2 linked regions of the Kluyveromyces lactis genome follow. The protein of the gene in region 1 interacts with the protein of each later gene in a pairwise test. Links are inferred from orthologs where the notes say so. Each region holds a gene or a part of one and is shown on either strand. Other genes may lie near its edges. The genes, in order: PEA2 and BUD6.

Region 1 (3,012 bases):
CGATTAATTCGACACTATTTGTGTGTAAAAATTTATCTACTTCGTTTTGGCCAAATAGGAAACCTGCACCACGCGGGGAAAGAGACCAAGTATCCACATCCTCTGGATCCGACCACAATAAATCACACATAGCACCTTCATGCGGTACCTCCTTTTTCCTATCGATGGTTCGTATTTCGTTGATTGATAAAACGTCCGGCGATAATCCACCATGAACACAGAAAACCTTGTTGTTTACAATGGCACCCAAGGGCAAATAGTCGAATACTTCGCAACAGTATCTCCATACGTTACTGTTACCATATTTCCTTACCACTTCGTCGTAAAACCCATAAACCTTCGTAATCTGTCTTGTTTCATGATTTCCTCGTATCAACACAATTCTATCTGGATACCTTAATTTATAACATACCAAAAGAAGGAAACTCTCTAACGAATAGAACCCTCTATCCACGAAATCTCCCAAAAAGATGTATCTATTCTTTTCAATGCCTCCACTCTTAGCAAAGAGAGTCAACAAATCATGCAATTGGCCATGAATATCTCCACAAATTGTGACTGGCGTATCCACATGTGTCACGTTAGACTCATTCATAAGAAGTTCTTGAGCCATGACACACAGCGAGTATATCGAATCCTCGTCAACATGTTTCCCCTGCCTTAGAGTCTCTATAATCTCATCGAGTTTCATCATTGACAGATGCTCAGACGACGTTAAAGTTAAAACCAACTGGAAGTATAAAAGATAAAAAAAAGTGATTCCCTGTTCAAGAACTGACGATATTATTCTATAGTGATGAGTTTGGATCAAATCCAACAAAAACCTACCTTAAACTAATCTAACAAAGGTAAACTGAATAGTCATCATTAACAATATAGGCTTAAAAGCTTCTTTACTTTCTTATTTTCCAAAATTCGATGAGATAGACAAAATGCAAGTATCAAGAGAAATAAAAGTATCAAGTATCAAAAGAGGTAACAACAATTACATTTTTCGGTTAGCCTGAAAAGTCAACTTGTCGGTCTGCGCTTTCCGGTATGTCTACAGTATATAGCGTAGTGTGGAATGCTTGCCTGTGTTGTATATGGGAATTGTTCAGAATCTTGCTTCTTCTTCTTCTTCTCCTTCCATTGTTTCTTTTTTTTTGCCTGTACTCTTTTTTCACGTTTCTTTTTATCAGTTTGCTTCCTTTTTTGTGTTTCGGCCACAAAAACGATAATTTAACGTGACATGCGGGTAATGAGGTGTGCTTATGTAAGCCTTCGGAAGATGACACCCAGACATCGGAATGGCGGTATTCGTGCGTGGTGATGTCAAATATCACGTGGTTGATAATGTGCTTGTATTACCCGGAAACTGCATGTATGTCCCGTGCGTGGTAATTGAGAAAGGCATTGATCGGAATCAACGCGTCTGGATAGATGAACGGAATGTTAAAATGTAAGTTGCTACCAAACCAAGCTAGATACTGATCGCAGCTAGCCCCTTGATAGAATGCTTCGTAATAACCTGGACCAATGGTACGAGTACAATACCTCTTTTGTAGAGAAATTGCATGGGAAGTACCCCAATGAACAGTTGAATGAATATTTGCAAACTACGAGTACGAATTCCCTGATATCCAATAGACAAAATTCGGAGTGGGATGAGCTTCCAATGGATTTGGATTCCCAATTGAAATTGGAATTTGCATTGTACTTGATTAATGAATCTGCTAACGGTTCTCTAAGTACTAAGGGAACTACTTTCTTACAAAAGCTTGGCTCGGTAGACGTTGACACGTTGAAAGAATTAGTCCAATTGGTACTAGAGAATGATAAATCTTTAGCCAATAAAAGCACTGATGAGGATGAGGGGAAAGTGGAACAGATCACCTCCTACCTGATCTCTAGCTCCATTTCTAAAGGTATCAATTTGGCATCAATAGACAATTCTTCCAACGAGGAGGGTGTACATGATCCAATCTCATTTTGTAAGAAAAACATCGACATCCTGTTGGATGCATACCCACAGAATTCAAGCAGTTCTTTGCAACACGCGCCCCTTTCTACCTCAGAATTGGAACTTAACGATATCTCAAAACAACAGGACCTACAAACGGCTATCACGGATTTACAACTTGCATACAAGTTCTTGAAATCGAAATATGAAAATGATAGAGATGAATACCAGGCGACTATAGAAACTCTGAACAAGACTAACAAAGAGCTTTCTGAAGAGCTCTTACACTATCATAGTAAGTTGAAGGAGCGCGAGGAGAAATCGAAAGTCACTTCACAGATGCAATCAATTCCAATGGATATCGATAGATCCTTCTCACAAGCAATTTCCGAATCCAGTGACATCAAATCCTCAACATCTGCTTCTAACCATCAATCTTTCTCAATGATGAAGCAAGAATTTAAACGAATCTTAGCTGATACTCAGTTAAGATACGAAAAAGAACTAGAACAAGAACGCCTGTTGAGACAACAGTTGGAGAACAAGTTGGAAAATAAAGGATACCGCTAATCGTTTTATGTTGCCCTTAACGATCCAAAAATACTAGCATTAAACTTCAATATATTGTTGAAATGTAATTAACTTTGTAACATTATCTAAGACAGAATTCCTCATCCATTTCAAACTCAAGCTGGAAACCATTTACCGATGGCTATTAGTCGTTAAATTTGTGTATGAACTATATGATACATAGAGTAAGGTGCCAATAATAAAGACTTCTATTATAGCAGAATGGATATGAAAAGACAATAAGGAAGGAAAGATAGAAGGAACAAAGGGTTTTCTTGCAGAAGACGAGACAAAACCTCCGAGAATCGAATTAGTGCATTGTTTAATAAAATAAAAAAATGAATTTTTATAGTACCATCCAATAAAACATCATAGCTTCCTGAATTCACTCAACACAGGGTAGATAGCTTCAAACGCTTGATAGATTTCTTCTCTTTGTTTGGCACCAGTTAAGACAATCTTGCCGGAAACGAAAATTAGTAACACAATCTTAGGTTTCA
Region 2 (4,418 bases), on another chromosome or scaffold:
AGGACTAACTTTATTCATCATGGATATTCTTTCTCGCCCGCGTGATCCTGTTATATTTCTAGCTCGTTTCTTACCATGACGCTGGATACCTGTACGTTTTGATTTATCTTTCAGGATTGTGGGTTTACTATCCAGACTTCTACGATTCTTCTGAGTCTTTGTTAGCATGAAATCTATTTCACTAGTAGAATCTTTAGCTATTGCAGATGAAGGTTCAATGCTCGAAGGTTCAAAGATTATTGTTTCCAACGCAGTCTTTTCATCATCATCTAGAGTAAGTAGTTCGATCCCCTGGCTTGTAATTTCAGTAATATCATCAGCTGAAGATGGTGGATTTGAATCTGAATCTGAATCTGGTTCTGGCTCATATTTCTGTAGAAAATATTCCTCTAGTTTTGAGTCTTCCATTGAATCTTGCTCATTCTGTAGCCGTAGATATGTTTCCGGGAATCCAACTTCAATTTCAGCATCCGATTCTATTAATTCGTTTACAAGGTTGTCGTCTCTGGAATTAAACGTTCTACGAGATATTTTTCTCTTGGCTAAACCTTTACTCCGTGAATTTTCATCGTAGTGGTTATTTTTATTTCTTCCTTGTCTATTACTTTCAACTGTATTGTTATCAAGTGCTTTCTTCCACGCCATTTTGGGTAATACACCTTTGTATCCTGTTCTGATATTGACTTGCCTTCCTCTAAAAACAACGTTATCATCATAGGATAAACTGGATCTATCAAACTGATTCGAGTCACTTTCCGAATGACACTCGTCACGAATTTCATCGCTGTCTAGTTCAGCATTACCATATACCTCATCATCATCATCATCATCTGAAATATGGAAATGGTGATGCCTTCGAAGCCTTGTTGACGCAATAGTCGAGTGTTCTTGCTGTGAAAGGCCGCCCTTCACAGGACTCGAATTGAGCACGCCCCCATTGTCCGTATTAACAGTAATATCTTGCCGGGAACCACTCGGCAGATTGATATGATCTGCTAGAGATTCGAAATTAGATACATCGTACCCTTGCAATAACTGCCGATGCCGTATTCTATCCAAACTATACGGCATCTTCTGGATTGCTTTACGCTTTCTCAATGCACGTCTTATACTATTAGAGTAAACTCCAATATCAGGAGGTGTCTGTGCTACGTTATCGAGACTGCCCGGAATGACGCGTACCTGGTATTCGTCATCGAAGATTGGAAATACATTTGGTTCCGAATGCAGAGGTATTACGATCTCTTCATCACTAGCCTCCGAATTGGGGACTACAGAGTCCTGATTCATCCCACAGAAACCACGCTATATGTCATACGCGGTAACACGTCTCTGTTGGTTGCTTAGCTTCTGAAATGGTAAGTTTCCATACTTTCCTGTTTCATTATCTCGGCCTAACTTCAGGAAATTACGTTTCTTGATATTTATCAACAAAAGATTTATGCAAACCAAATCAAACCTAAAGCTTTTTGATCTAGTAATGCTTTGAAGAAACATACCGTTTAAAAAGTGTACGTTGGATTTCCTAGCTAGTAGTTAGGTGTGTGGAAGCAGTAGGGTGAGGTACGTAAGGTGTGTCTGATAAAGATGGAAACACCACCACCAATTTCTAAATCAGCATCATCTGTGGAAACTAGTGTGACGAAACTATTGATTTCAACTAAACAACTATTACAAATTCTGACGCAATGGTCCAAGGGCAAAGTTACCGAGCGTAATGTTTCCGATGTGTATGTTCAATTGGGTAATGATTTCAAGTTAGTCAGTAGACATTTTACCCATGCTAGAATTGATATTTCGGATCTTGGCGATGTGCCAAAAGACCTTCGAAGAATATTGGAGGTGGCATTGAGAGAGACTGCATCTGAGGAAACGTTGAATAAATACCTACCGCAGATCAGAGATATTATAGTTAAACTCTTGGAGAAACTTAAGGTTAAACAGGCGATGATAAAACTGAGCAGGAATGAAGATGCTTTGAAATATCAGCATACTCCTCAAAGATCTTCCGTTTCATCCGTAGTCAGCGCAACGACATCTTTGGCTGGCGCGGGACCGACATCTACTTCAGCTCATATTGAAACAAAACAGATACCTACGTTAGAAGTTCCCAAGGGTTCTGAAAGCGATGCGTTAACTCAATTGAAAAAGGGAAATAATCTGCAAAGAAGAGCCTCGAAGAGGTTTTCAGCGTATCATATGGCGAAATTAGCCAACCAAACAGCTTCAGATCCATCGAATTCCCCAACGTCTAAAAATTTAGCAGTTCCAGCCGCTGCTGCAGCGGCAGCAGCGGCCAATGTTTCTGATACAGAAAGCATTAAAATGGAAAGACAGCCTTCTCGAATCTCTTCTGCTTCATCCGTAGATTATCATCCCATGACAGGAGCACCAGAACCAAAAGGTGATAACTCAAGCATAGATGAAATTGTTGTCTTTTTGAAGATCGGTGAGAAGGTGAAACGATGTGTAACTAGTTCTCACCTCTCTTTCAACAAGCTTAGACTTTTATTTGTTGAGAAATTTGCATATTCCCCAGGAGGTGATGTATTCCCTGACATATATGTGAAGGAACCCAAATACGAGGCATTTTACGAACTTGAAGAGAGTCACCTACATGGTATAATAGATGGGAGCGTATTCCAATTACAGGTACAATCATCGTCTCTAGATGAACAGTTCCGCCAACTTCAAGATGGTTTATTAGAAAAGCAAGATACAATTTTTCAAAATTTGAAAGAGATTATCCAAAATAGTACTCACGTATCGTCACCAGATTATTCAAGTGGTCCAAAATCCTCAGATTCTGCAACAGTTATACATGAGGATCATCGTAAAGAAGTTGCTCATATTAGGCACGAAATTACCGTTTTAAAACAGATACATAGCGACCAAAAGAGATCGCTTCAAAATACTATAAACGCTATCGTGGAAAAACTACAGAAATTCCAGAGCCTTTCAATAACTACAGGAAAGTCAGCTAATCGCGATTATATGGAAAAGTCCCAGTCGAAGTTATCCGAAGTTTCTGATAATCTTTTGAGTAAAGTTGACGATCTTCAAGATGTCATTGAGGCATTACGTAAAGATGTGGCCATTAGAGGTGCGAGAACACCCAAGAAGAAGATTGAAAATGTATCGTCTGAATTAGACTCCGCTAAGAAGGATTTGGATCAAATGAGAAATTATATAGATGTCGAAAAGCCAAATTGGAAAACTATTTGGGAAGCGGAATTAGATAGGGTGTGTGAAGAGCAACAGTTCATGACATTGCAAGAAGATCTCGTATTTGATTTACAAGAAGACTTGAATAAGGTTATGGAGACATTTGATTTGGTTAAATTGTGCTGCGAACAACAGGAAAAGGCCCCAAAGAAGAATAAGGGAAACCCCATTCTTCCGATAGCCAAGCCAGGCACATATAATATGATCCGCGATCAAGTCTTGACTGAAGTTCAGAATCTCAACCCAGATCATGACAGTAGAGTGGAAGCCATTAAAAAGGCAGAAAAACTAAGAAACAGAGAGAAAGAGTACAAGGAAAATGAAGCCTTTGAAGATGAGTTGGGCAATTTCGTTGAGAAAGGTAACTTCAAAAAGGCCGGTGGCATTGAGGAGATAGAACGCCTAAGAAAACAAAAAGACGAAGAAAATCTGCGTGTTAATTTTGGTCTGATATAGGTACAATAATTTTAAGTAATAGCATTAAAACTCTATTAATAGTTTCAAATCGCTGACATTTGTCAAAATGTCTGCAAATGCGTTCTTCCTTAATTTTAATTGTTCAAGGAAAACTGACAACACCAGTTCTTTTGACGCGACGGACTTTTCCATCGAGAACATATTAGCTGAAGAGAGGTTAAGATCAATTCGCTGAAAAATGTTGAAAACAAATTGTTTGAAAGATCTTCTGCTGCTTTTCTTCCTATTAAAAAGGACAATGAACGATTGAATTACATTTAACGCAACTTCTCTCAGGAACCTTGCAGCCGTTTCCCAAGAATTTAAGCGCTCGTCCAGCATATTATAAGATAGTCTCATCTCAAAGATCCAGAGTAATTTATTATACAGTTGCTTAGATGATCCCAAAACTGTTCCTAGGACATTATACGATGAGCGGTCTTTCCAAACTTCTAGGGTTCTTAGATTTAACTGCAGTGCACAAAAAGGTACATTTGTTGATGTTTCAGATTCTGATGAAGTAACCAAGACTTTTTGTGGGTTTATATAAGTATTGAAAGATTTGAATCCTGTTTGAGCCAGATTATTAAGCCGCTCGATGTATTTCTTGGAAGTTGAAACTATTAGAAAATCATCCACCAGCCGTATTATCATCGGATCTGAATCATTTTCATCAGTAAACTCGGTGTAGAATTCAAGTAGGTCGTCATACAATATATCAACAAGAACGGAAGATA

Evidence for each region.
Region 2: the proteins of PEA2 (region 1) and BUD6 interact in a two-hybrid assay, tested with the Saccharomyces cerevisiae proteins (5 studies listed by BioGRID, with this or other methods). The link is inferred for Kluyveromyces lactis from reciprocal best matches to the Saccharomyces cerevisiae genes PEA2 and BUD6.

What each region holds. Positions count from the first base shown.
Region 1 is NC_006041.1:890,390-893,401, forward strand, and holds PEA2 (Pea2p), read left to right. Parts: upstream 1-1,495; coding exon 1,496-2,512; downstream 2,513-3,012. Other genes in the region: phosphoprotein phosphatase PP4 catalytic subunit PPH3, read right to left, coding at 1-694; SPT15 (TATA-binding protein), read right to left, coding at 2,882-3,012. UniProt on the Saccharomyces cerevisiae protein: Localized to sites of polarized growth and is required for efficient mating and bipolar budding.
Region 2 is NC_006039.1:1,621,160-1,625,577, forward strand, and holds BUD6 (formin-mediated actin nucleation enhancer), read left to right. Parts: upstream 1-1,587; coding exon 1,588-3,681; downstream 3,682-4,418. Other genes in the region: MMS22 (Mms22p), read right to left, coding at 1-1,290; EST2 (telomerase reverse transcriptase), read right to left, coding at 3,706-4,418.